Linked DNA regions of Diceros bicornis minor. The protein of the gene in region 1 interacts with the protein of each later gene in a pairwise test. Links are inferred from orthologs where the notes say so. Each region holds a gene or a part of one and is shown in the gene's direction. Other genes may lie near its edges. The genes, in order: RBFOX2, HNRNPF, QKI and DMRTB1.

What was found.
Region 2: the proteins of RBFOX2 (region 1) and HNRNPF interact in binary tests that used the Homo sapiens proteins (3 or more experiments, as listed by UniProt). The link is inferred for Diceros bicornis minor from reciprocal best matches to the Homo sapiens genes RBFOX2 and HNRNPF.
Region 3: the proteins of RBFOX2 (region 1) and QKI interact in binary tests that used the Homo sapiens proteins (3 or more experiments, as listed by UniProt). The link is inferred for Diceros bicornis minor from reciprocal best matches to the Homo sapiens genes RBFOX2 and QKI.
Region 4: the proteins of RBFOX2 (region 1) and DMRTB1 interact in a two-hybrid assay, tested with the Homo sapiens proteins (3 studies listed by BioGRID). The link is inferred for Diceros bicornis minor from reciprocal best matches to the Homo sapiens genes RBFOX2 and DMRTB1.

What each region holds. Positions count from the first base shown.
Region 1 is NC_080764.1:13,676,847-13,683,960, forward strand, and holds the start of RBFOX2 (RNA binding protein fox-1 homolog 2), read left to right. Parts: upstream 1-4,112; 5' UTR 4,113-4,562; coding exon 4,563-4,748; intron 4,749-7,114. UniProt on the Homo sapiens protein: RNA-binding protein that regulates alternative splicing events by binding to 5'-UGCAUGU-3' elements. Prevents binding of U2AF2 to the 3'-splice site.
Region 2 is NC_080745.1:15,289,126-15,297,079, reverse strand, and holds the start of HNRNPF (heterogeneous nuclear ribonucleoprotein F), read left to right. Parts: upstream 1-4,943; 5' UTR 4,944-4,975; intron 4,976-5,289; 5' UTR 5,290-5,357; intron 5,358-6,223; exon of another isoform or gene 6,224-6,305; intron 6,306-7,954.
Region 3 is NC_080778.1:7,347,821-7,354,759, reverse strand, and holds the start of QKI (KH domain-containing RNA-binding protein QKI), read left to right. Parts: upstream 1-3,938; 5' UTR 3,939-4,433; coding exon 4,434-4,575; intron 4,576-6,939. UniProt on the Homo sapiens protein: RNA reader protein, which recognizes and binds specific RNAs, thereby regulating RNA metabolic processes, such as pre-mRNA splicing, circular RNA (circRNA) formation, mRNA export, mRNA stability and/or translation.
Region 4 is NC_080752.1:15,755,194-15,762,287, forward strand, and holds the start of DMRTB1 (doublesex- and mab-3-related transcription factor B1), read left to right. Parts: upstream 1-4,078; 5' UTR 4,079-4,299; coding exon 4,300-5,116; intron 5,117-6,674; coding exon 6,675-6,880; intron 6,881-7,094.

The sequences.
Region 1 (7,114 bases):
GCTCATTTTCTCAAAGAGCTTATAGATACAAAGATTTGTACCACCAGCTTGTCTGATGGCTGCTGGTAACCAGAGTACTGGGTTAACAATGACTGGCTTTTGACTAGATCTGTCATAAGATCTATTATCTCCTAAGGTCCCATAATAGCCCTGTGGCTAGGTGCTCCAGCACCCACTCACCTCTCAGTCTCAGTTTGGGGACCACAGCTGGTCCTGACTCCAAACCCCGTGCTAGGGGTCTTTATCGGGGTTTCTCCTGGTGAACAGTGCTGAACTCCTCCTAAGCCCTCGCAGGCACACAAGAACTTGCTCACTTTTTATCAGAAACCATATCCTGGGAAACTCCCCCTCATTTTTAAAGACCCAGATCAAACATAACATTCTGGGTGAAGCTTGTCCTGTCTCCCTCCGGCACGGGGAGCTCCATCTTCCTATAGCTCCTATAGCTTGTGGCACATAGAATAGTCATATTAATAAACATAATAGGAGTAATAATAGTAGTAAAAAGGTCTAAGTTACCATTTATTGAGTGTGTCTATGAGCCAGGTGTCATGCTAAGTGCTTTGCATGCATTATTCAACGCTCAGAAGAACCCCAGGGGCCATACTATGATAATCCTCGGTTTACAGATTGTATCAGGCAGGAGTTGAGTTTGGCTGCATGTAGAAACCTGTCCACAGAGGCTTCACCAAATGGGAACTTATTTTGCTCAAATAACAATACATTAGAGGTAGACGGGCTAGGGCTGGTATGGTGGCTCCACAATACCATTCCTAGAACGTAGCTTTTGTTACTGTGGACACAAGACGTCTGCTGTTTTCCCAATCTGTGTTCCAGGAGGGAGGAAGGCTAGAGACAAAGGGCAAAGGATGAAGGGCAGAGTGCCTTTTCTTCTTGTGGTTTTGTCTTACTAGTTGGGAAGGAATGCTGTCCCCTACCTACATCTCACTGGCCAGAATGGGGTTACATAGCCACCCTTAGCTGCCAGGGAGCCCGAGAATTCTTTTTTTTTTCCCTCTTATTAAAGCTGGGCAGATTTGTGCCCTGAACAAAATTGGGGTTCTGCTAGTAAGGAATTAGAGGAGAATGGATACTACATTGGGAACTACCAGTGCTTGTCACACAAATGAAGAAACTGGGCCTTAGAATGCTAATGATCTTGTCCAAGGTCAGACAGATGGCCAAGTTAGACTCAAAACCATGTCTACTTGACACCAGATTCCATGCTCCTGTCCACTAAGAGAGATGACCTCCTGATCATGATGCATTACAATTGTCTTTTTATTTGATCATCCCTTCCCTAGACTGTGAGCTTCTCGGTGCTAGGAATCAATTTTATTCACCTTGGTACCCCAGACTGGTGCCCATGGTTTGTCAAATGGAGAAATGAATAAATGTTAGGACTTCAGTAGTTTCTGTAGCTAAAAATTCTTTCTAGGAAAATATTCAATTGTCCTCCTCCTCTGTGATGTTTTATAACCACCTGTTCCCAAACAGGTAGCTGCAGAAGTATGTGAAAGCAATGACCCTGATCTTTGTGCCATGGGCACATTTGGCCTCTTCTACTATTCATAGGCTTCTATGCTCTCTCTCCCTAAGTGCTTAAAGCTTGTTTACAGGGCAGGGTCCAGTTTTTCTTTGTTCTGCCTGGTCATTCAAACATTGCTATATCCCATCGCTCTATTTCTTAGGGACATGTGTGCTACTTGAGTAACAATAATTTGAGTCACAAGCAGTCCCGACCCCAAATATCATCTCTTGCTGGGTCATGGAGCAGCCCAAAAAGGACCAGTTGGATTCCAGTATTTTGGCAAGGCAGGTAGGGAGGAGAGGAGAATTCTTAAGACACTAGTTTGGAATGTAAAATTTTTAGAAAACCAACCACTGATGTCCTTAGGTTAAAAAAAAAAGTCATTGTTGTTCTGTAGGCCACCTGGAAAATCCTGATTTTTCTTCAAAGCCATGATGCTTGGTTGGACAGAATCAAGCCCATCTGCTGTGGGGTACTGCCCACAGGGACTCCTGACTTCAGCTGGGGCTGCCTAATTCAGCTGAAGAACAAGCTTGCAGGCACTTGGACTTCCAACTTACTGGCCCAAACAGCAGATTAAGAGATGCCTGGGCTTCTCTTTCCACTGCATTGCCCCCTAACCAGTAGCTTACTATCATTAAACACATTAGATGATAAATATTTACCACTTATTAAGCAGTTACTATATGTTAGGTGCTGTGCTAAGCGCTTTATTTTGTCCCATTTAATCCTTAGAACAATACTGTGACTATTATTGTCATCTTACCGACAAGGAATATAAGGCTTAGTGAAAATAAATGATTTGCCCCACATAGTGGTTGCAGCAAAGGGTGACTTGGGGAGCTTTGTCTGCCCATCCTAATCTCTAGCAGCCCCACAGAAGCCACCTTATGTAATTCAAAAACCCAATAGTAGTGATAATGATATTCTTAGATATCCTCAAACAATCCTTTCAGGAAAGTACTATTATTATCCTAATTTTCAGATGAAGAAACTGAGGCATAGAGAGGCTAAGTAGCTTTCACAAGGCACCATGACTTGTAAGCGGCAGAGCTAAAACTTGGCTATTTTTATTGATCTATAACACAGCCTAGGTAAAAACAGCGTGCTCACTATGAAAACTCAGCTTCAAGACAAATCCTCTTGTCTTCCTTTCCAACTAGCCTGCAGGCCCTAAACCCCTTCTATATAGAAATTCCTAACTCATCACTGGTCCAACATCACATAGCAGGTGGTAAAGCTTGGATTCAAACCTGGCTTGGTCTGACTCCAAAGCAGGGATCTTTACCACTGTACTGTTCCAGCACCAGTCAGGTTAAATCCAAGTTCAAAAGACAAATTGTTGACCCATCTGGAAATGGCCCTAGAAATCATCTAACCCAGGGTTTCTCAACCTCAGCACTATTGACATTTGGGGCTGGATAACTGTTGTGGGGACTGCCCTGTTCATCACAGGCTAGTGAACAACATTTCTGGCCTCTACCCACTAGATGCTGGCAGCAACCTCCAGCCTGGAGACATTTTTGGGGGGAGAGGGAGAGGGAAGGGGGCAAAATCATCCCTGGTAGTGAACCACTGATCTGAACCATCTCCTCATTTTTCAAATGATGCAGCAGGGGTTCAAAGAGATGAAGTAACTCGTGTAAGCTAGTTAGTAGAACCCAAGTGGCTCATGCAACATCATATCTCCCTATAAAGTACAGGGAACAATGCGGAACCCAGAGAAAACAGATGCCCTCTTGGTCCTTACAGTCTGGTAGGAGACAGAAGCTATTACACGAACATCTCTACTTGCATGAAGTTGATAAGCTGTACAGGCAGCAAGATGTAGAGAAAAAGAATATGATCTGGTGTCCTGAGATCTGGATCTGCCACTTTTCAGCTGCCGGACTTAACTAAGCTTCAGGTACATCATTAGTGAAACGGAGACCCTGGTATCTATACCATCAGCTTCAAAACGGGTCTGTGAACGCACTGTGTAAACCGTAAAGCTCCTACAAACATCAGGTATTATTAAGATGATCAGGAATGTGATGATAATAATAATTATGATTAGAGTAAAAGCTTTCAGAAATGAGGAGAGCCATGTAGTGGTGGCTTCATTCCTGGACCTTCCAACCGGAGATCCCCATTCTTCTGCGGGAGAAGGAACAGGCAGAGTTCCCTCCCACAGAGAGCCTCTTCCTTCGCCTGAAACCAACGTGGCCCTTGAACTCCGTACAACTCTGCCACCCTGCCCTCAGGCCTCTCAAGCTCCGCCCGCCGCAGGCTGCGGCCCCGCCCTTAAAGGAAACAGACCCCGCCCCCTCCGCGCTGGCTGGAACTCCGGCGGCGCCAGGCCTCCAAGACAATCCGTCGCCCGTGCCGGAGATTCCCGAACTCTCCCGATCTCTTCCCGGCCTCTTTCGGGCGCCCGGAGCGGAGGCGGCGGAGATGGCCGAGGGGCGCTGGCCCCGCCCCCTCACTCCCCCTCCCGCCCCGCCACCGCCTCCGGCGCGGGCTGGAGTCCCAGATCCCGGTCCCTCCCTCGTCCTTTCTCTCTCCCCGCCTTCCCGGTGCTGCCAGAGTGGCGGGTCGGAGGATCCCGGCCAGTCAGCTCGGTCCTGCCTCGGGCCCCTCCTCCCCCCACATCAACACCCCTCCCCACGCCTCGGGAGCGGGACCGCCCCCTTCCTCCCTCGGCCGGCGTGGGGTGAGGGCCGGTGTGAGGGAGCCAGCGCGGGCGGGCGGGCTCCGTGAGGGCGAGAGGCGGGGCGCGCGGCGGGCGGGCCGGGGGCCGCGTGTGCGCGTGGGGCGCGAGCGAGAGCCCGTCGCGACCCGCCGGCGGCCCGGAGCCGAGGAGCCGGCGAGCGACGAGCGGCGACCGCCGAGCGCGGAGGGGCGCCGGGCCCGCGCGCGCGCGCACGCACGCACGCAGGCGGGGGCGGGGGCAGGCGCGCGGCCGCCTGTCGCGACAGTCGGGGCCGAGGCCCAGGGGGAGGTGGCCTGTCGCGGGTCGCCCGGCTCCCGGAGGCGAGGGGGGCGCGGGCGGATGGCGGAAGGCGCCCAGCCGCAGCAGCCGCCTCAGCTCGGGCCCGGCGCCGCTGCCCGGGGGATGAAGCGGGAGTCGGAGCTGGAGCTGCCGGCGCCCGGAGCGGGAGGAGACGGAGCCGAGCCCGGCCTGAGCAAGCGGCCGCGCACCGAGGAGGCGGCGGCCGACGGCGGCGGCGGGATGCAGGTGACCGCGGGGGTGCGGCCGGGGCCGTGAGGGTGGCGCGGGGCTCCGGGGCTGGACGGGGGCGGGCTTCCCGGGGTCCCGGCTCGGAGGTGGGAGGGGCGGGTCGGGGCCTGGTTGGGAGGTGGGGCGCCCTCCGGCGTGGAGGCAGAGGGTGCAGGGACCCCGGTGTGCCCGCCAGGGTCCTGATTCCAGAGAGGACGAGGGGCACGACGCGTGACTGGGTTTTGGGGGGAAATCGAACATGGTTGAGATGGATTCCATTTGTCCCAACCCTTCCTGGGTTACTTGGCGGGGAGTGGAAGCCGGGAGATCCTGGGTCTGTTGCCCAGAGAGGCGCGGGACTGAGTGGAGGACGGGGGGACAGTGGTGGGAAACCTCCCAAGAAGGAGGAGTACCTTTGGCACTCTCGACACCCGCTGGCATGGGGAAGGAGCGGCATATAAAGGAGAGGCGTGGAAAGCGAGAAAACTCCTCGAGAGCCCAAAGGGGATGTGGCTTAGATTGTGGGTTAAATTAGTTACAGAGGAGGGTGGGAAGTACAAGGAGTTGGGTAGTGCTGTGGGGACACCGTGGTGCTCGGTCTCATTAACTTTATGGAGCCTGCTAATGAGTCTGAAGAGAGACACAGAACATGCCCCTCCTGTACTGTGCCAGTTGTATCTTAGCCCAGCTCTTTAATGTCCTGGGGTGTAAAAGAAAATTTATAGGGCTGTTAGAGGACTGGATTCTGAGTCGTGAACCCAAGCATGATCTGGTTGATTGGGCAGGGAATGGGAAACGGAGTTATGATGTCAGTTGACTTTGTAGTTTGAGGAAGAGCGTGAAACCTTTGTAGATTTTAGGATTTGATCTCTGTTCAGAAAATACTTGCTATGAAGTGGTGGGGCTCACCTACCAGCAATTGTGTAGACATCTGCCTAATTCTTCAAATCAGAGAATGTTAGAGACAGAAGAGACCAGAGACCTCATCTTTTCCAGGGGTTCTTAGCCTGGATAGACTTGGAAGATTCTTGTGCAAAAATAGTTTACGTGCACTTTTTGGTGGGGGAAAGGCAAGAGTTGTCATCATCTTTTTGGTTTGTTTTTGGAGGGGATTCAAGTCCCCAAATGTTTTAACCACCTCCTTTTTTAGAGGGGGAATGCAAAGTCCAGAGAAGACTAGTGACTTGCCAAAGACTACCCAGTGAGCTGGTAGTAAAACTAGAACTAGAAGCCGAGTCTTCTAATTCCTACTCCTGTGCTCTCTCCATTACACCGCTCTTGGAAATCTCTGCAGCGCTAAAAGACTTCCTGTGCTCTGCTCCCTGCTCTGGAAGGCTCTGCCTGACTTCCTGTGTTAGAGAGGGAGCTCTATGGAAGCCTGGCATGTTTGCTGTGTTCTTCTTGGTCTCCTGGCAGAGGCCACTCTGTTACTTGTGTTGATTTGGGTAAAGTGACCCTCTTGGTGTTTATTTTTGAATTCTTTTGTTTTGTTGGCCTGCTTTTGTTCTCCATTAGAACTCTGTCAGACAGAGGGATTGTGAGAAGTAAAACTCAGGGCCATGGAGAAAAGAGAGAGAATATGGGGAGACTTCAGGTGAGGTGGGTTAACATTGGATGATAAGGAGAGAAGAGTGGATGTGGGTGCTAGTGAGCATGTTCCGCTTGGCGTGTGCATATATATCTATGTGTTCATGTATTGTTTCTGTCAATCATGGTTAATAGTGAGACTCTGCCTCTCTTACCCCCCTCTTTCCTCCTGGGGCCCATTATTTGCTGGTTGCCTTCAAATTGGCTAAGGATAGTACTATTTGGAAATGGAGCAGTGTATGGGGACTTTGGAGTATGCAGAGGAAGGAGTGGATTAGGTCCTTTGGGTACAAATGGGCAACTTAGAACTATCCCACAGAGAATCCTTTTTTCACTCTGTGTTTTTGGGGATCTTTATTTATTTTTCACTTTGTGCATTCTCATTGTCGCAGTTCTAACGCTCCATGTCACACAGGTATTCAAATCATCATTGATTTAGCCCCCTGCCTTCAACTAGCTGTATGTTTCTGGGAAAATCCCTTCTTTTTGGGCTTCTGCTTCCTTAGTTGTAAAATAAAGTTTGTACAGGATGATTTCTAAGTTACCTTCTAAAAAATACGTCAAGTTCCCTGACCTTAAGGTACTTGGTGCTTACAATCTAGGTGGCCAGACAAAAGGGTGAAAAGTTAAAAAAGGTGTGTGTGTGTGTATATATATATGTGATTTTTTTTGTAAGTTCCAGAGGAAGAGGAGAGGAGATACCACAGGGTAGATGCATGTCACAAGGCATTGCATAATTTAGAGCCAAAGTATGCAGAGGACTTGTGCCACGGAGTCCAGAAGAAGGAGGTGGAGGG
Region 2 (7,954 bases), on another chromosome or scaffold:
TATGATTTGTGGCTCTGCTCTGACTTTTTGTTTAATGGTTACCATGAGGTTTGTATAAAAGATCTCCTAGATGAGACAGTCCATTTTCTGATAGCCTCTTATCTCCATTAGCCTAAGCAGGTTCCATTTCTTTCCTCTTCCCCTTCTGAGTTGTCATTGTCACAAATTGGTCTTTTCTGTGTTGTGCGTTCATGACTAAATTGAAGTGTTTATACTTATTTTTGATGCTTTCTTTCCCTTTGTCTTTTATGTTGTAATTAAGTGTTTACTAACCTGTTCTGATGTGGAGCTGCAATTTTCTGATTCTGTCTATTTATCTCCTTGCTCAAGATTTTGTAAACTTTTGCTTTTCAGTTTCAGATGGGAGGGCTCCTTTCAACATTTCTTGTGAGGCAGGCCTAGTGGTGACAAACTCACTCAGCTTTTGTTTCTCTGGGAAAGCTTTTATTTCTCCATCGTATCTGAAGTATCGTTTCATTGGATAGAGTATTCTTGGCTGAAAGTTTTTGCCTTTCAGTATTTTGAATATATCATGAGGAATTTCTTCTTTCTTTTATTTTTTCTCTTTTTTTCTGTCTCTCTCATTGCCACCCACACACAAAACCACTTTACTTAACCGATCTTTCTTAACTTATGAACCCCCGCCTTTTTTTTCCATGTCGTAGGTCAGAAACTTTCAAAGTCAACATTATTAAGAACTCCTATTAAGAAGATAAAGATCTCAAATTTGTTCCATTTTTCCAGGATAAAATTTGGAGTTTATTTTTTGGATTTATTTTTATTATTGGGGTTCATTTTTTCATAAATAAAGTGGTCAAAATGTAAAGGTTAGCAGGACACATTGCTGCTTAATAAATCCCAAGTGATAAAAAAGAGAACTTCTGACAACAACATAGGTAATGAAAATGCTTAGCATATAGTGAGCTCTCAGAGGGAGGACTGCACCTGCATGGCCTGGGCCCATACTTCTCTCCTATCACCTCTTTCCCACGTGGAGTGAGGCTCACGAATCACTGGCCACGATTGGCCTCCTTGTTCATTTGCCCTTTGGAGCATAATTTCTGCCTTAAAGAACCAGAGGCAGGAAAGGCTGCTCCCCTGAAGGGGTTGGTACTCAGGGGAAATGTGGGGCTGATTCAAAGACTTCAGTGCCAGGCTCCCGCCCACCCATCCAACCATGATAGTTTTGAAATAGAAGCTGCAGAGGGAAGGAACTGTTTTAATCATAATACCTTGGGTAAGGTACAGTGAGGTCAGATGCAGATCAAGAGAGAGAAACTGGAAAGAGTTTTACGGTTTTTTATACTCACAGCTCTCGGAGGAGAACTCAACATGCCACCGGGGCCACTCAGGGGAAGCACCAGGTTGGTCACAAGGCAGAGCAAGAGGGAACTGTGGGCAAGCACCTTTATTGTGGTTTTTGCTGAAAGGAAAGGGTTAAACAGGGCAAACAGGTTTAGGATCGGCTAATTTAAATAATTTCAGTGGGCTCCGGAGCAAGGGGCTGTCTCTGGTTGATATCTGGCCCTGGGGTAATTAGGGAGTGTATGGCGGCCCAGAGTGTCAGAGCCCGATAAGGGAGGTGTTTGGTAGTGTGGACTTAATTGGCTGTTTAAGAAGAGGAACTAGACCAGCGTCTAAGCAGGGCCTCAAAACCGGATCAAGATAGCACACATCTACCCACACAAACTGTATTACAGGAAGCAATATTCTTTTTAAAAAAAGTTATGTAAATGGACCACACATTTTGTTTCTTCTCTGATCACAAAACGTCAATACCCCACCAGTGGTGGTTTAATCTGTAATTTTTTTTTGGTCCAAAACAATGAGAGGAAATAGTCAATACGTCAAAATGTCAATATCTCTTACATTTGTACAATATCTACAATTTTGTGTTTGTTTTCAACAGTCTATAATTTTTTAAAATGGAAGTTACTACAAGAGAAAGGCAGAGGGAAGCTGCAAGCTGCCCTGCACCTGGCAGATCTTTTCTTTTCTTTCCAGTTTTATTGAGATATAATTGACATATAACAGCACATCTTGATCCAAATGAAGTTTTCTGATTCTCCTGAGGCCCCATAGTAGTGAAGGCATCTAACTGCACATACTTTTGGGTGGGAACACTCATGATAAGGCTAAAAGCTGACAAATCAGAATGGAGACAGAGCTAGACCTTTGTTCACTAACATTCAAACCAAGGCTTGTTGCTGGGCCGGCCTGCTGAAGAAATGGTCAAAGTAAGGGTAGCCACACAACACTGCCCAGAACCACACAGTCCACCTGCAGTCTTTTGCTACGCAAAGAACCCAATTCAAGCAAGTAACCATCAAGCTCAGGGGGTGCCATAACATCTCTTTCACTAACTCAAAGTGCTGTCTGAAAGAACGTAAAGTACCCTGAAAGCACTGCAAATAACCCTGGGGGCGGGGGTCGAGCCCTCTGTGGTGGTGACTTTCCTCTTGAATAAGCATTGTGCTGCTTCAAAGGTGCATTTTTCTATATTAGTCAAGAAAATTAACCAGACGAGGCTGACTTCTCAACTTGCCTCTGTCCCAGCTGGGTTATCTTATCCCTCATCTCACCTACTAGAGCACCTGGCCTCAAGGATAAAATTTACATTTGGACAGTATTTATACCGTGGCTGGACAGTTGAATTTGCTTTCTCATTTCGTTCTTTCCCTCTCTCAGATGGGAAAGGGAGACAGAGAAGGGGCTGGTAAGCCAGGCTGAAAGCCCTACATCTTGAGAGCACAGCAGTTAAGAGGGCAGATCCTGGAACCAGAGTGCCTCAGCCCAAAGCCCAGATCTGCCATCTACAAGCTGAGTGACCTTAGCAAAGTTCCCTTAACAACTCTCTACCTCAGTTTCCTTCCACTAAGTGGTGATGATAGTAATAACATCTACTCTTGGGTTGCTATGATGTTGAAATGAGATTAAGTATTCAGAACACTGCAACACGTTAGGTATTGTTATCATCAATGCTAGTTAACAGATACTGTGATTTTGAATAAGAGCCTTGCTGAGCCTTGGTGATCCTGCCTACCCACTGGCATTCTCCTGGGGAAGGGGGTCAAAGCTTAATGGGTGAAGTGTTCTTTCAAGTGGTATCAACTGGGAAATTTTAAGACTCTAGACAATACAAACCTCTGTACCATTTGTTATGGACGAGTAATTTCCAGAGAGAAGCTTATTTTTAAAACTTAAAATATTTATTAAAAGGTCTTAAATTTGTGATAATCTATTTACATAAACAACAGGAAATAAACAGGTCAGTCTGTAACAGGATACATCTTGGGGTGATCTTCATTTGTGGTGAATTCAGTTGTTTTTAAACCACAGACCTTAAAGGCTCATCTCTGTGTAGGTACTCTCAAGAATCAAAAAACGTCTCTTTTTAGATTTCAGAGCTTAGGTGACACTTTTCTGTACATAGAGATGAAAAGAAAGGGTAGAGGCCCCTAAGCCCCCACAGCTGAGGAGGTGATCCAAGTAGACCAGGATTGGGTAAGCATTCTCCAGTTGGTGAGATGAGCTGGACTTTTGTGGAAAAGACCTAGGATCTGTGGCACCAGTCTGATTCCAGCCCTCACTATGGAAGAGAGCCTATATATGGCTGTGCTAGCACTCACCTCTGAAAAAGATAACATAGTGGACACCTGGGATGACTCCCTTGGACAGGGGGAGGCTCATAATCAGGCCAAGGCCCTAGTCTTCCATTCAGAGAAGACCTCAAAGGTTACTGCATCACTGATGAATGATGGAGAACTGTCAAACTTGATGAGGGCATCAAACAGCCCACAACAGAAGTCCTTTTAACAGACTGCATGAACCTATCTCCTTGAACCTGGTTTCACAGTCCCAAATTCTGAAGCATTACTATTTTTTGGTATAATTTTAATACTTGCCTCAGATTGGCTCTTGCATTTTGTCTCCAGAAACAGACTTTTCTACAGCATGAGCAGTGACAGTCATTGTGGGGTTTCTTAAGAATACCTATCTGATTTTTGTAGGACCCGTTTTCTGTAATTTTGCCTTTGATTAATTTTCTTCTTGTACATTTTCACCTCCTTTGACAGCTCCTGCTTTTACCCTTCCCATTTTTTCCTTCCTGGAATCAGCTTCTTTTGACAAACTACGCTCCTCTCTCTACTATCATTGTCCACTCATAATCTGATACTATGCCAAGCACTCCCTTAATTTAACTGGTAATTTTTAAGTAATCTTCTCCTTAACCTGCGATGAGGGTCTTGATATCGTCATCTTTTTAAAGAGTGTCTGCAAAATTAAAATGGTAATAATTATTAACCCAAGGACACATCTGCTCCCCTGCCTCAGGCGGAGTAGCCATTTCCATCCAGCTTCTCAATTCAGGGCCTCTGTGACAGGCAACCCTGCATTCTCCTTGGGTCTTCTGGGTCACCTTGAGAGAGTTGGGGGCTTCTCAGCCCAAGTGATAATCACGTGAGCAACCTCAGTCAACCAGCTAATCTTTCCCTAAACTCTCCCCTCGGAGCCGCTTTTTTCGTCTCCGGTGTTCTCGGTTCCCTCTTTCTTCCTCGGCAGGAAACGACTCTCATTTTCTTCTCTCAGGCTGGTCTTCAAGCCAGATGCCCTTTGCGCTCACTGTTTGGGGAGCTCTCCCAGTCAGTATCGTCAGGAGCTCAGGAGCGTTCCGCTAACCCTCCCCTTCCCAGAGAAAAGCTCGCCCTCGTCCCCCCGCCCCGTTCCTCTCCTTCCACCACCCAGCTCCGCAGGCACTACCAGCCCCGGGGCCGGGCCAACCAATCCCCGGCTCCGCTCCCGGCGCGTCACAATGGCGCCCTCCCGGCCCCGCCCCGCGCCCAGCCGGCCAATCCCCGGCTCCGCTCCGGGCGCGTCACAATGGCGCCCTCGCGGCCCCGCCCTGCCGTGGTCTTTGCGTCCTTCCGGCTCTGTCGTGGAAGTAGCGCTGCGCCTCGTCTTCCAGGAGAACAAGGTGGGGTTTGGTGGGGAAACCGGCCTGCGGTCACGCCAGCACACGGAAGGCGGGCGGGGGCGCGATCTCTTGGGGCTGCTGCTCCCAGGTGCTGGGGCACAGGGCCGAGCGGGGACCGGGCATGTAAGGGCTTCCGGAAGCGCCGCGTGCGCACGACGGGCGGGAGTTGTGGACTCGGGCCTGCCGCGCGCCTGACCCCTCCCCTCGGAAGCCCCGCCCAGGGCGCGCTGCCAGGGGTTTCCATGGTGATGGTAAACAAGCCTCAACTGCCTCAGCTACAACTGCCAAGTCCCCCACGTTCCACCCTCCTCTAGGTGCTCAGGGGGACGACCGAGGTGCCGGGTGTGAGGAAGAGCGGGAGCGCGGAGACTCCGAGCCTGAGGTGAGGGGCGGGACGGGCCGCGGGTCCGAAGCCCACACACCCGGGACCGACTGGCTACTGGGCCCTCTGGGTGTGGGGACAGTGGGGCTGAGATTTGGGGTCGGGGGAGGCAGGGTCTGAGGTCAGGGGCCGCACACCCGGGGACCGACCGTGGACTGGGCTCCCCTGGGGGTGGGGACGGCAGGGCTGAGATTTGGGGTCGGGGGAGGCAGGGTCTGAGGTCAGGGGCCGCACACCCGGGGACCGACCGTGGACTGGGCTCCCCTGGGGGTGGGGACGGCGGGGCTGAGATTTGAGGTCGGGGGAGGCGGGGTCTGAGGTCAGGGGCCGCACACCCTGGGACCGACCGTGGACTGGGCTCCCCTGGGGGTGGGGACGGCGGGGCTGAGATTTGGGGTCGGGGGAGGTGGGGTCTGAGGTCAGGGGCCGCACACCCGGGGACCGACCTTGGACTGGGCTCCCCTGGGGGTGGGGACGGCGGGGCTGAGATTTGGGGGAGGTGGGGTCTGAGGTCAGGGGCTGCACACCGGAGGACCGACCTTGGACTGGGCTCCCCTGGGGGTGGGGACGGCGGGGCTGAGATTTGGGGTCCGGGGAGGCGGGCCTGAGGTCAGGCCTTACACTTGACTGGACCAGGGGGCTGAGATTTAGGGTTAGGGGAGGCAGGACCCGCGGGGAGGAAGGACAGGAGGGCCTCGGGCGGACTCCAGGGGGAGCAGGGCGCGGGCACACGGGCCTGTCGGATGGGGCTTCCTTTAGAAATGAGAGCAGTTCCCTCACGTGGCCGGGCGCGTCCGGGAGTTGCCCAAGACTGGCTGGGCCTGGCTCCTCCCCCTCCCACGTTCCCGCTCGCCGCGCCTCCACTCTCGGTGCTCACGGCCTTTTCTTCCTCTCCGAGCCGCGTGTGTGCCCTGCGCGCCCGTCCGCGTTTGTCTCCTGCCCGTCGAGGTACAGTGTTCGCATGTTGGGGTGAAACTCTGGTTCTCGTTGTCTTTGCCTGGTGACCACGCTTCTGCTGAGCGGGCTTAGTCGGCCGTTTCGTTTTTCCCTCGTGCTTTCCTTCTTTGTATCTTTGAATATGTGTTTCGCTGATTCTTGACTGCGCCTAAGAAACTTCCGGACGCTGCTGGAGCTCGCGCGGCGCCGTCTGCCTCCCGTGCTCCTGCGCGGCTCCCTGAGGTGGTGCCGCGCGGGTCGCGGGGACCTGACCTACTCGGTCCCCGGACCCTGGTCTATTATAGAAACGGTGGGGAGGCCGCGGGCCCCTCCCGTTAATCTCTACTTTAAAGGGCCTCTCAGGACCCCAGTGTTCCCGCAGACAACCCTCAGGCCCAGGAGAGCCCCCCCGGCCCCGGGCACCTGCGGGACCCTCGCCCGGCGTCCCGTCGGCCCCGGCCCGCCGCTTGCGGGACGCCCTTGGCCGCATTCTCTTCCCCCGGAGGCCCCAGGACGAACGGACACCCCTCCTCCGCTGGTGTTTACAACTGTCTGCGGGCCGGGTGCGCGGCGCGAGAGGAGCCCGCGAGGGTGGCGCGCCGAGGGGGGACGGTGCGACCGCGGCTTCCCAGGGCCGCCGGGGCGGGGGGCGCCGGGGGTTCGGGGCGGCCTCAGGTGTCCGCAGGCGCGGGAGCGGGAGAGTTTTGAAGGCTGCAAATAGTTTTTTATATCAAACATCATCGAAACTACTGACCTTAATATAATTCTCACTACTACTTTTAGTCACGTTCTTAAAAGTTAGTTTTCGTTTCTGAATTTCTAGTAAGGATGAAAATATGTCGGGTTCTCAGGTTAGATAAAAAATATATTAAAATCTAATCTCTCAGTGAAAAGTAATGTTTTCAGTATGTACTAATTTCTAGACAATTTTTTCATTTTAAAATAGATTAATTTCTACATATAATGAATATTGAGAGAGATTGCTTTATTACTAATATTAAGTAAGTCCATAATTTGCCTTGGGGATCTCATGTTTCTGTATGCACTTCTGTAAGTTGATTGTTTATTATTTCCATGTTATGATCTCGTTTTTTTTTAGTTTTTTTCTATTTTAGTAACATTCTTCTCGTAATATTTGCCTTTTTGCTACCTTTCTTTTTAACTGACAAGTGACTGGTTTTCACTTGAGTATTGTTACAAAGCTCCCTTTAAACATAAAATATTCAAGGAAAAATGTGAATTGATTTAAGGGAAAAGATTGATTAAATAGGAGAGTTAGTCCTCGGATATGGCCAAAACTGTGAAGAGTGTGGAGACTTAACGGCCTAGGTGCCTGGAGGGGCTGCAGAAATGGGAGGTGACTTCCTGCCAGCCTCTGCCCAGTCTGAGCTCTGGCTCTCCAACTCTTTGTAGATCCGCAGTAATTGAGCCTTAGTGGGTCCAGGCAGAGAGCTAGGTTTAACCACATTTTTCTAATCACATGCTCATGACCAGTCTACAAGTGGGTATTGTTTTATTCCCATTGTACAAATGAGAAAATGGAGGCGGTGAGAAAATAAGTTGCTTGCCTAGGGACACAGCTGGGACTAGGACTCAGGACTGACAGGGACAGCCCTCCTCTGCTAGGGCCCTCATCCCCACCTGGTTGCCCTGAACCAGGG
Region 3 (6,939 bases), on another chromosome or scaffold:
TTCTTAAGTCTAAGAAACATTCCTGCAAGAACTCCATGGTGATGAAAAAAGTTTGGAATACTGTAATTTTCTATTTTAAATGTCAAGAATAGCAATAAGCAGATACAGCCAATCAAATTTAAGAGAACAGAAAATACATTTCCACTCGTGGTTAATTACTGATGTTAAATGTAGAACCATTTCTAGTGTCAACATATTAGATGACATAATTTTTCAGAGTAAGAAAAGTTATTATAAGGACTTTCAACTGGAAGCTCACCTATACATATATTCTTGTATGTTGTAACTTGTATTAAGATGATATTTTTGTAATAACGTGACTAAAGAGTCCTTCCACATTAATTTTTACAGTTTTAAGCTTTTTGATGGCAAGTGATATATCCCAAGAATTTTTGTATTCCTCATTGCACTTGTCACATGTCGGGTAATTAATGGTGTAATATATACCTAAAATGCCTTGAGGCAGGAGGGTGAGCGAGAAAGGGGAGGGATACCGTGGACACCTGCAGACAGGGCGCTTGTCTCAATGAGAGGTATCACCCTGTTGGACCCAGTTCTGCCCTCTGTGGGACCAGCTTCTCACTATTCTTAAGCATCAGCCATCTCTCCTCTGAAATCTGGCTATTCATGCCTACCTCAAATGTCTGCCGTGTGGATTAAAAGAAATATTGTAGGTGAAGGTTCTACACAATTCCTGAAGCATAACAAGTACTTAATACTTTTTCTGAACATATTTTTCTTTTTCTGAACATATTTTTAATAAGTGCCTATATGCACATGTGCTGTTCTACCGGTTGGGAGTTCAAAATAGAACAAAATAAAGTCCTTGCTCTCATGAAGCTTACAGTAGGGGGAGGTGACAGCCAAATTTACCCATAGATAGAACATGTCAGGGGGAAACAAATGTTATGAAAAAAATTAAAAGGGTGGTAAGCAGAGAGACTAACAGAGTATGTGTGTGTGCGTGTGTGTGTACACACATGTGATATTTTATAAAGGTGGTAAAGGAAGCCTTCTCTGATAAGACCTGGGAAAGGGTGCAAGCAGGCGTGCAGATGTGGGAAAAGCTTGCAAGGAGAGGGAACACCGAGGGCAAAGTCCTGGAGTAGAAAGCATGCTTGGCCTGTTTAAGGATCAGGAGGGATTCCAGGGGGTAGAGCTCAGCACACTAGGGGAAGTGAGGACACAACATCAGCGAGGCAGCAGGGGGCCAGAGCTTGTGAGATCTCAGAGGCCTTGGTACCTGTCTTTGGGTTCATTCCGCGGGGCCGGGGTGGGGGTGGGGGAACCACTGAAGAACTGCAATAAGAGAACTGATGTAGTATGCATATTTGGAAAGGCAATACATATCAGCTATGATCAAATGCTGTAACCATAAGGGATTTAATAGGTCGGAAGTGAATATTGCTTACCACTGTTCTTTAACTCTGATCTGGCTCATTTAGATTATAAGAACCGAGTGAGCCATATGAAATTGTAGATTCTATGGGTTGAAAATGGTCGAACATCGTTAGAAGTTTCAACCTGACTTATTGGATAGGATTAGTAAAAGGGCAAAGAACACGGGTTTTAGAATAAAATAAAAGTGGATTTGAATCCTGGACCCAGGACTCATGAGCTATATAGTCTTGGGAAGTTACTTAACCTCCTTCTCCTTGGGTTTCCCCTTGTGTAAAATAAGGCCTTGGCCAATATGAGCCACAAGGTTGAACTGAAGATTAAATGAGATTACAATATAAAGCATTTAGCACAGGCCTGGGAGCTTAATGAACAAGTGAACCGATTAAGAGAGGGGATCGAATCTTTTACAACTAGCAAATCAAATGAATAACTTGGTACCAAAACCTTTTAAAACCACCTATCATTTTCCTAGGTACTGAAGCAGCATACCTTACATTAGTTTTAAAGAGACAACAATTTTTTTGATCAAATTAGTATTCCTTGCACTTATAAAATTCATCCTCTAAATAGATAATTAAGAAGGTGAATATTCCGTGGCCCTATTAACAGCTGTGGATGATGGAGAACTTAGAATATTTGCGAGTTACATGTTTTTAACTTTGTCTACCTAAGGCAACTCCATTTCCTCCATCAAAGTAGCTTACTTTTAAAAACAAACTCATTCTACGTTCTTCAAAAGAACAGGCCAGAAGCTACTTGCCACTCAAAGAGTATTTGTTTGAAACCCGTAGTTTCAATACAACTCAAAAGTGTTCCTCAGAATTGGTGCGAAGCAAAATTTTACCAAAAATCCCAGTTAAGTTCTTCACAGTTAAAACACAGTAGACACGACAGATACTTCAGCCAGTGTAACTCGCACAATCGTCAGGCCGATTTTGAATAATTTTGTCCATGTTAATTGAACACGTCATAAAGAGCTTGCAATAAAATGCAGATACAGATTTAGTGACTGACAACGTTCTATAAAGCAGAGAACTACATTGTTGCAGTTCAGAAAATTCTTCCCCAAACAAACCTAAATATTTGAAATCCCCCCATCATGCTGCTTGGAAAATCTCTTGCCCGCTGTATGATTATTTTTGCAAGTTTGTAAATACGAATGTTGACTTTCGTTTTCCGAACTAGGTACAGTACATGCTCTTTATTTCACTTGTTTATTGTGGCTGCATTTTATTACTGAACACCCATGTCACCACGAAGCGCAAGATCGCCAACAGCATCGCGTCCCCTCGTTATTCCGTACACCGCGACGCTCAGTCCTGGCTGTCGCTGGCTCCCGGAATAACGGAACGCCGCGACAAAGCACAGCCTGTCCCCAGAGGCGCGCCCGCTGCTCGCACAGGTCCTGCACCGGCAGAGCGACGCCGTCGGGGCGACGAGGGGCGCCTACGCGGGGCCCGCTGCTTCTCAGGCTCCTTCCCGCCGCGTGGCTCCCGAAGCCAGAGGGGACCGCGAGAACACGGGGTGTTAGTGCGTTCCCATCAGCTTCGCAGCGGTAGTCAAAGCCCACCGCCAACGCGTCCTCTGGAGGCGGACCCGGAGCCAGGCAGCGAAGACCCGGCTGCTTCCCAGACCCGCCGCTCCGGGTCCCGTGGCCCAGCCACCCCCTCCCCCTCCCCCTCCGCATCCCCTGGGCACGCCCCCTCCCCGACCCCGCCCCCTCCCCACGCAGGCGCGCGGCAGACCCCGCCCCTCCCCCTCGCTGGCAGGGCTGGGCGGGGGCGGGGCGACCCTCGGAAGGGGCGTGGATGCCGGCCTCGACGCGCGCACGCGCTCTCGAACCTTACGGCTACGTGTCGGGCCACGTGACGCCCACCCCGAAAGTCCCCCGTGAAGCAACAGGACGTTAAAAAAAAATCCTCTTTTGGGGGGTGGCGGATCAGAGGGTTTTCAAAAACTATAGTAACGGGAGGCGAGGAGGGGGCCGGGGGGCGGCGAGCGCGGCCCTGGCGCGTCCCGCTGGAAATCCCTCTCACCTAACGCGCCGCCCGACCGCGCCCGCCAGACGAGCCGCCTGCTGGCGAGCAACGCGAGGCGGCCCCAGCCCCCGCCCCAGTCCAAAGCACGGCCGCCCGCGACCCTCCCCCAGCCGGCGGCCCCGCACCGACCCCTCCCTCCGCTCTCGCCCGCCCGGGGCGGCGACCCCGGCCCGGCGCCCAGGCCCGGCTCGCCGAGCGCCGCCTCCGTCACGCCGCCCGCCACCGGCCCCTCAGGCCGCCCACCCCGCCGGAGGGAGACGGCGCGGCAGCGGCGGCTGCGGCGCCCGGACCCGGGGCCGCGGGGGGCGGCGGCGGGAGGAGGAGCGCGCCGGCCGGGCCCCGCTAACGGCCGCCCTGCGCGGCCCCGCCCGGCGCCCGCCCCCGGCCCTCCCCGCGCCGCCCCTCCCCCCGCGCCGCCGCCGCCGCCGCCGCTGGCAGCGCCGCCTGAACTGAGGCGAACTCCGCCGCCAAGTGAGTGAGGAGGAGGAGGAGGCGGCGAGGAGGAGGAGGAAGAGGAGGAGCGGAGTCAGAGCGCGGCGGCAGCGGCAGAGGCGGCCGCGGCGGGGACCAGCCCAGAGAGACCCCGAGCCCGCGGCAGAGGCGGCGGCTGAGCGGGCGCGACCAGCCGAGCGAGCGGCGGCGGCGGCGGCCCGGCTCCTCCTCGTCCGGCGCCGAGCGGCCCGCGCCCGCACTCGGCCCGCGGAGACCCGCCTCCCGCCCGCCGGCCTCGTGAGGGACGCGCCGAGCCGGCGGCCAGGAGCGGCGGCGGCGGCGGCGGGCCGGGAGCGCGTCGGGCCGCGGGCCGAAAGTGCCTGCGGGGGCGGGGAGAGCGCGGCGAGCGCGCGGTCCGGCCGCCCCGGCGCCCGGCGCGGGAGCGGAGCGGAGCGGGACGCCGAGTTCCGAGCGGCCGGCGGCCGGGGCTCCCCGCCCCTCCCTCCCTCCTCTCCGGCGGCGGCGGCGGCGGCGGGCGGAGTGAGCTGCGGAGCCTGGAATATGGTCGGGGAAATGGAAACGAAGGAGAAGCCGAAGCCCACCCCGGATTACCTGATGCAGCTGATGAACGACAAGAAGCTCATGAGCAGCCTGCCCAACTTCTGCGGGATCTTCAACCACCTCGAGCGGCTGCTGGACGAAGGTGAGTCGCCGCGCCGGCCCCTGGCGGCCCGCGCCCTGGCGGCGGCCGCTCTCCCCGGGACCCGACGCCCGCCGGCCGGCGGGGAGGGCAGGGAGGTCGCGGCTGGCGGGGCCGTGCGCCCGCGAGCGGGAGGCCCGGGCGGGGGTGCACGGAGGCGGCGCCGAGGCCGGGCTCGCGGGCCGGTCGGGCTCGGCGGCGCGGGGGGGCCCTCGGATCGGGACCGCGCGCCCCGCGGGTGTGTGGGGGCGGCCGCAAGCCCCGTCCCGCGCCCCCGGCGCCCGGCCGCGGCAGTGGGCTCCCGACGGCCCCGAGCTCCGCGGGCCTCCCGGGGAGGAGCCCGGCCTCGCCGGCCCGCGGGCGCCTGAAGGACACCGGCCCGAGCCGCTCCTGGGGCCTCCCGGAGGACGCCGGCGGGTCCCCGAGCGGAGCTCCCGCGGGGCTGTGGTTTGTTGGAGTTTGTGTGGCGTGTAAACACTCGAGGGGAGTAGCGCGGGCCTCGTGAATGTAAAGGAATGCCGCGGGCGCCCGAAAGTAACGCTGATGGAGCCCCAAATGACAGCGGAAAGCACTTTCGGTCCTTTTGTTTGGGGAAGCGAGAAGTGTTGGGGAGTTGAACTTCACTTTTGGGGTGGGGGTGGGGGCGAGCGCGAAATACCGCGAGGATGAATGTAGACGTAATCCCGAGTTGGAGAGAACTCCGGCGGAGAGCCTGCTCCCCGGCACGCCGCTGCCTGAGTTTGCAGGACAGGAAATCAAGAGGTCTGAAAGGGCGAAAAGAAAAACGAGCAGAAGTTTGCCCAAAAGCTTTGTCGGTGGGGAGCGAAGAGTGACAAGAAGATTAATTTTGGCTAACTCTGGAATTTTTCTGCGAGTTCGTGCAGCGGCGACTTGGAGCATTAATATTTGGTAGCTGTGCCTTTCTGTGGACGCCTAGGGAATAAGATGACCAACCAAAAAATCTGTTTTGCAAATCGAGAAGCAAGGAGTTTCTTTTTTCGGTTTAGAAGCATCAGCGGAGGACTGTTTAAAGAAAACTGGAAACTGTATTTTTATAGAGGTGAACAACGGATTTTAGGCTTTTCACGAGAATTTCCCGATTTTTACAGTAGAGCTGGGGAAAAGGAATCTGAAGCTTAGAGAGTTGGAATGGCACTAAGGAACAAAAGACCGGAAATGTCTCCGAGATAAAAGATGGTTAAAGAAGACTCCCGGGAGCTTTTGTTGTCAAGAAAGTCATAGAAACAACTTTAAAAGTACAAAAGTTAGGTATTAACTGCGTTGTCGTTTTTGCATACATGTGTTACACATACAGCAGTGATCCATATTGCAATGGGCTTTTTCAACACTGTTGAAACAGCAAGTGTGTTAATTTCGAATTGCTCCAGAGAAAAGTTGAGCTGTCTCTTTAAGGGGTTCTACTTTTCCTATTTGTGTTGGCTTTTGAAAGGTTGTGGAGGCAGAAAACTTTCTGGAATGTCAAAAAAAAAATCTGCTGGAACTCTTAAATTGAGTGTTTCCAAATGTGAGCGCTAAGGGGCGCCAGTTATTTTTTTTTTAAACATGAGAAATGTTTGGAGCAAGATGTGTAACATACTCAATAATCTGACCTACATTAAATTTAGTTGAAATTTAAATGATAGTATATTATTTTATCTGTCATTTTGTGTCCATATATGTATTTACAAACGCTGAAAATACTTTGTTTAAAGTTATTGGAACAATTTTACCACGTTTCAAAAATATGATATTATTTTCCCTTGGCATGTTTTGGTGAAGTTAAAATTTTAGTAGTACTAGTAAAAATTTCTAAGCACTTTTTTCTTAAGTACCGTTGTTTACAAGGAATTCTTTATAGACATTAAAATGAAAATAGGCCTTGACAATACTTAGGGTTAAAGTTGAAGAAGTTTGAATTAAAATGTCGAGTTCAATCAAACAGCATAGGCGATAATAAAAAAAGTTTGGAAATATTTTCATCTTATGCATACTATTTAAGAAAGTAAATAATTTGAGTTTTTCTGATTAATTCTAAAAGGCTTCTCAGTTGTGCTTTTATGTTATCTAAAATCTCTAAATGATAATTTGGAGTTCTCTGTTAAAAAGTTTCTAACCTTTGGCTTCAAAAATTTTTAATTTTCTAAATCTAGAATTCCGATTATGTCATTGTCTCTAACAAAAGTTTGTTCATTTCTCTCTGATTGAAATAGTAACCACTTGAGTTTTAAATGTTGGAGACCACTAGTTGAGGATGAAACATTCTAAATAATATTTTTTTTCCTTTTAATATGCTTCATTCCATCTCTTGTCTTAGTCTGTCTTGAGTTGTAGCCTTTTCAACTCCCTGTGGTAAAGGTTGCTTCTGTA
Region 4 (7,094 bases), on another chromosome or scaffold:
AAGGGGGAGGTGAAAAGAAAAACTTCCTGAGTCTTCTGTTTCTTAAAAATAATCAGCCTAAAATAATCCTCATGCCCAAGAAACACACTTTGGGGTGGCAAATTTTGCTCCCTTATAGCCCCAACTGTAATGGGTATGTAATAAAGACAAACATTTCTATTCATCACCAAAGTTTTCTTGGGGAGAACACAGTGTTTAGAAGAAATATCGAGTTAGCAGATATTTGGTTAAGAACATGGACTTTGAGGCTAGAGTTCCTGGTTTTGAATCATGGCTCTGCTACTTAATGGCTGGAAAACCTTGGGAAGTTACTTACCTTCTCTAGGCCTCCTGTGTAAAATGGGGGTGAAAATAACAGTCCCTACCTTAGAGAGTTGTTGTGAGGATGATATGAATTAATACACATAAAGGACTTAAGAACTACTGGCACATATAAACACTTGGTAAGTGCCAGCTATTATTATCACTATTACTAAACTATTAGGGGTGGGAGGTTAGCTCAAGGAACCAAAGTTGATCCCCAAATTCTGCTTGTCAAGAGAGAGGTCCTGTTCACTCTGGGGTCTGTTTTGTTTGATGTTCAGGCAAAGTTGCTGAAGCCAAGTTGACTTACCTTGCCAGTTAGAGAGGAGGTAACCTTGACACTGGCAGAAGAAGGAGGCAAGGTTCATTTGTACATTCAACAAATAGTGACTGAATGTCTATTTTGTTCTGGACATAATGGAAAATAAGATAGACACAGCTGTTACAGAGCTCTCAAAAAATAAAGAGAGGAGAGAGAAGCTAGGAAGGTCGGGTACTGTTGCGGGGGGCATGAACAAACCATTTCTCCCCAGTGGGTGTGGCATGGCAGAGGAAGCTCTTGAGAGAATAGAAACGCTAAGGCAGGATTTTAAAGCATCTGCTATAGGATAGTCATGTAAATCCTCCCCTCCATCCCCTACAAAATCTTCAATAAAGTTTTCATTGCTCACTAGAGAGAGATTGAAGAAGGGGAAGATAGCAGATATCTGGGTTATAGCTGCTGGGGGAAAGATGCCATAGGCGAAAAAGCCCTTCCTTACTCTTGTGTGTTCCCAGCAAGGAAACAGTACAATGCATGATACAATATTTAATGATTATAAATGATACCCCTGTGCACTGCATAATACAAGGCTCTTTAAAATGAATATGAATTAAACAGTACAAATAGCAATCATATTAACTGAAGGAAGAGGCATTATTCAAGATAGGAAACTTGGGATTCTGAGGGAAAAAGGGCCATATCTGACGCTGGAAGTCAAATATGACCGCCAACCAGCCCCTTTGTGGTTAATTAGTCAAACTGGTGATTCCTGCAACGATAACTTGTTATTTTATAAACCATTGCTTATGATGATGCAGACTTTCTTAAACATAAATATCCTAAGGTTTAGGTGTGGGGACGGAAGGGGTCCTTCCCTGCTCCCATCCTTTTTTTGACTTCTAGTTTTCACTTCTAAGACATTACCATCTTCTAAAATAACAATTTAAAGAAATGTATGTTAAAACAAAAAAAAAAGCAGCAGCCCCTGAAGTAATCAGTCATCAACCTAAATAAAACAAAACTACCAATTTGCCTGAATTTCCAAGAGTGAAATAAATAAAGCTCTGTTGGAATTTACCTACACAAATTGAGACTTTGGGGGGAAGAGAGAAATTACCTAGTCTTTTTTTTTCTTAGATTTGTTTACTGTATAAACTCTGGGGTTTCTGCATCTTATAATGTGACTACTGATTAAAAAGATACATGGTTGTTTATTAATGTTCTCAAAGCACTATGCAAATTCACATCACCTTGGGTATATTTGGCCCCTAAAGCTAGGAAGTAAATATGGCAGCATTTTGTAGTTAACAAGGCTAAAATATGTTAATTCAAATAGTTGCCTCTGAATAGGATTTTTCTTTAAATAATTAATAGGAAAATGAAGAGAGCTTGAGTGGTCAAGCAAGAAATGTAAATGACATTAGTTTTCTTTTTTAGGCCTTATCGTCCCATGTCATCTGATGTTAAAATTTAAATATGATAATGCAGAAACGATCTTACAATTTGCAGTATCATGAAACAATACAGCTTTATGCCCCAGATTTTTTGACAGTAGTATTGAAACTATGATTTATAAGTACTATTTTCAAATGACAAGATCAGTGAAAAAATTAGACATTTTGAATTGGGTGGGGTCAGAAAAAGAGCTTGCCTCTCCTTTTATCTGTGGGACCATATTTTTTAAATCAAAAGTTAAGATAGAGGGCGTTAGTGTTACTGCACCAGGTCCGTTTTTGCCAGCCACTCAGAAAGCCAAACACTGAGATGATGAGATTGCAGAGAGAGAGAGGGTTTAATAACAACAAGGCTGCCAAGTTAGGAAACAGGAGAATGGATCTCAAATCTGCTTCCCTGAAAACAGGGACTCAGGGCTATTTATGGGGTAGGGGCAAGGTGGTCTGAAATGATTGGAGGTGAGGAGAGATGAGGTAATTGATGATCTGCGCAAGCGTAGTCAGGCTTCATGCCTCTTCGTAGGAGGCATGTTCACAGAATGGTGGCGTCAGCTTGCCCTGAGGGTGGGGCTTTAACCTCCCAACGTCAAAAGGTCGCTTATCAGACACATGTCTGCATGGGCCCAGTTGATGGGTTGGTGGTCTCAACCGGCCTGAAGTGGACAAGGGGTTCCAATTCCTGAAAAAAAAAATAGCTCAAACACCCATTACCATGGTGACCCAGGCTCCAGGGAGATGTCATCTATAGGAACCTAGTGGGAGTCGGTTAGCATATTGCCTAAACAGCACAGTTAACAATGGGTAAGTTTATCATGCAGATTTAAGTCCTGGCCTTGCCTTCTGTTCTGATAAGTTTCTAGGTAAGGCCATCCCCCCCTTCTTCCTGGTACAGGGAAGAAGACAGCTTTACAGATGGAGATTTCCTTTACAAATGTAAATGTATCTTAAAAAGGGTAACTAGAACTAAGAATGGGCTTAGCAAGGACCCTCCCAGATAACCGGAGATGTCTACGGTAATGGCCTGTTCTGGGGGCAGGCCTCCCATCCCAAACTGCTTTGGTCAGTTAGTGGGGGTGGGGGCCAAAGTGTCTTTCAGGCAGAGACATATTTTGAAGTGGCCAATTCCAATCCCCCATAGTTATCAGCTGCTTAATCATCAATGGCTAACTGTTTGCCGGTTTCATTAGAGCAAAGCAGAGACAATCCTAGATCTCTTTAAATGGATGTAAAATTACCAGTGAAATTCCTGAAGGGCCAAATAATACAGGAAGCATATACTTTTGCCCTCTTATTAAGATGATGAATATATTTCTTTAAAGCAGAAAAAGGCTTTACAAATCTCTTGTCAGCTTTCCAGCATCTAATCAGCCTCAGAATGGCAACCATTTCCTATTCTTAGGCAGCTGGTGAGAAATGCAAAGTTCAGTTGCAACCAGAGGCTCAGGAAAATCAAGGACCCCAGGCCTCCACTTCTAGCATTCTGCTATCACAGAGAGAGAATTTCAGAGACAGGGCCATTTAATATGCACATGTTTTAGCCAGGTGGTAACCATAACTACCTCCCGATTCTATGATTATTAGCTTTCAACTTAGGTGTGAGTGGCTCATTTTTTCCTTTTTTTTGGACCTAAAAAAAAGAAAAAAGGAAAAAGACCTCAGGGTGTCACAAATTTCTATCAAACAAGAAAATGAGTTAATTTAGTGGCCTTGGTAGACTATGAAGTTTTGGCCAGCTTTTCAGGTGTCTCAAGATTTGGGTTGCTTTACAGGGATGACTAAATTCATTGCAAACTTAATCAATAATTCAAGCTCATGCTAAAATATCCTACGTCTTATTTTACATTAAAGCATTGTAAGTATGCTTTATTTTGGAAGGCATCAACAACAGCAATAGGCCATCTTCTAGAAATGCATTCCTATACCAACAAGACTGTTAAGCAATGGGAATTTCTAAACGGGCACATCCTTAAGCAACTATCACACTGTACTCAGCTCCTGAGAATATTCTGGAAGCATCAACTGCGAATGGCTGCTTCTCTGCAGGGGAGAGAAATGAAATTCAGCAGAAGCAGCAGTTCTTGGAAGGAGAAGCAGTTTGCCGCTTAGGATGCTTTTATACTGGAATGGGTTTACTGAGAGCTACGTTCGTCTGGAGCTTTAAATCTGTAGACCGTTGAATATCACTCCGCCTTTTTTGAAGTTACAAAATACTTTCTGTCTCCGGGGTGGCGGGAATAGAAAGTTTGGGAAATTAAATGCCTAAGACTTCAGACAACTCAGATGACATTCATGCAATGGCATTCCTTGAACAACTTACTCAACCCAATCCCTTGCACCCAACCAAGGCACAGAACCTCTGCAAATTTTGCACCCCAAAAGAGGTGGGAAAATGCAAAGGTCTTGCTGCAGTTCCTGGAACGTACTGAGAGCCGCTTTGTTACAAGTGTATCCAACGTCCCCAGCACCAGGGACTTGTGGGGCGCGGCTCATCCCCGCTCCACTCGCTCTGCAGCTCCCAGAGGTGGCGGTTGTACTATGAAGGCAGACCTTGCCAAGCTGGCCGACAAGATGCTGCGCACCCCCAAGTGCTCGCGGTGCCGGAACCATGGCTTCCTTGTGCCCGTCAAGGGGCACGCGGGCAAGTGCCGCTGGAAGCAGTGCACCTGCGAGAAGTGCTACCTGATCACCGAACGCCAGAAGATCATGGCCGCGCAGAAGGTGCTCAAGAAGCAGGCCTCCGAGGAGGAGCAGGAGAGGCCCGAGCTGGCCTCCGGGGCCGCGGCCGCCGCCCCCGGCGCAAGCCTCCGCCCGCTGCCCCTGCTCGCCGCGTCAAGAGACGCGGGGCCGGGCCCCAAGGGCCGCGCGACCGCCTCCGTCCCCGGGAGACCCCCGCGGGGCCCGAGCCCCGGCCCGAGCGCCTTCCAGCCAGTCCTGGGCGGCCGCGGCCACGTGGGGCCGAGCGAACGCGCCGCCGCGGCCATGCCCGGTCCCGGGGGGCCTCAGCTCGGGGCGGAGGCCGCAGGCAGGGGCTACCCCGGCCGCCCGGAGCTGCGCAGGCCGCTCCGACCCGTGCCCAGCCCGCCCTTCGCCGACTTCGGTAAGATGCCCGGGCCCGCGCGGCCTTGCTCCCCACGCTGGCGTCCCAGGCCGCCCGGTCCCGCAGGGTGGGCCCTGGGGGTGGGGGTGGGGGCGGGGAAAACGCTACCCAGACCTAGGCTCGCTCTCCGAAACCTTTCTCTGAATACGGATTTGGGTTGAGTGCCTTTTTGCAAAAATGTAAAAAGAGCGACAGAAAGGAGTGGGTGGTCCAGAGGGCTTTTAACATTTAGCTACAGTTTTTGACTTTCCATCTTGCAAGAAAAACATGGCCTCTAGTCCGCTTAGCCGTGGCTCCTCCTCCGCGGGGGAGGCTGGCCCTACTGCGCTTGTGCACCTCTTCCCGCCTTTTTGTTGAGCTGGAGGCGCCTCCCCCAGGACGGTCCTGCGGTGGTGCTTTTTCAACTATGACTGCGCCTGCGCACCCTTCTCTCCCTGTCTGCGTTCTGGAGGCCCCTCCCCTCACCCGTGCCCTGGCCCAATGAGCTTGCGCATCCCTTCCCGCCTTTTCCCTCGGCATGGGTGGGAATGAGGCCCCTTCTCTGCCCCCTGCTGGAGGACAGCAGTTGGTCCATTGAGGTGTTGTCTCTTTTCTGTCCTCTCCCACCACGTGCATAAATTACGTTGTTCCTTATGTCTTGCTGCTTTCACTATTAAAGTATAATTTCAAATCACATGTAGATTTGAGTTTTAAGCAACGGCTCTTTTTGAGTATAAGACATGTGTTTTCTTGGTTTTCCCTATGGCAGTGTGGTAGAAAGAGCACAAGTCTGAGTCAGGAGGCTGGGGCCTGCTCACTCTGTCACCTTAGGCAAGCACCTTACTTCTGTGTCAGTCTCTCCCTCTGGATGCCCTCTGAAGGCCATTTCTGCTTTCTGGGACATTCTAGGAAAATCTAGGCCCCCAGGGAACTAGGTGGGGAAGACAGACCTGAAACAGCAATCCTAGGAGAAGGGTACCTTTCCATGACACAGTGCCTTTCTTTGTTCCATCTCTCAACGAACAAAGACTGAGCACTTAATTATGTGCCAAACGCCAGTGAGGAACAGGTGAGGGGGAAAAGTCACATTCCTTGCCCTCAGGGATCTTGTCCTTGTGGGAGAGACAGCACTGATCAAAGAATCACACAAATCAGTGGATAGAGCTCTTATAACTGATGGTTTAGCTGTGGTCTGAAGGAAGACTAGGCACTGAGTCCTGAAGGCTTAAGTAGGCAAAGTGGGGTTAGGGGAGGAAGCCTTCCAAGCCAAGGGAACAGCATCTGCAAAGGGCTTGATGTGGGTGAGAAAGAAGCTACTAGGTTACAGTAAGCGAGGAGGCTGGAGTGGAGGCAGGAACCAGCACTTGGGGCTTCACGGCTGTGCCGAGGACTTTTCTAAGAGCAGTGGGACGTGGTTGAAGGGTTTAAAAAACAGGGAGTGTTAAAAGCCTAGTGGCTGTGGGAGTTCTTTGTAAATGGAAGTGAGAGTTTATTATACTTTCACCTTTGGACAGTGATGTGATGCTCCTTTTCCTAGCTCTTTGTGTTCTCAACACTTCCTCACTGCTTACCTTCTCAGGGCGCTCTCTGAGCATCAACTCGGATTGTGTGGTGGGGTCTGAGTACCTGGCGAGAGAGCCTTCCAAGCTGTACCCCAGCTGCTCCAGCGTGCACTCGTACCGCCCGTTCCCACTGGGCTTCCAGGACGCCACCCCAGCCCCAGGGATCCCCCTGCAGCAGGGCTTCCGGCATGTGTCCTGCAGCCACTACCATGGAGGGGGCTTGGTGAGTCCCTTCCCTGACTCCTTTCCAGGTTCCTCCTTATCCCACTGCCCTTGCTGCTTTTATGGATCTTTAATCCCAGGAAGCCACTTGTGTGCCCACTCGGTGCCAAGCCTTGAGCACTGGAAGGAGGGATACAACATTGACCTTGTGCGGTGTGCGCCTCTGGGAGTGCACACATGTACACGAGTCCATTCACATGTAGACAAGTCGGCCC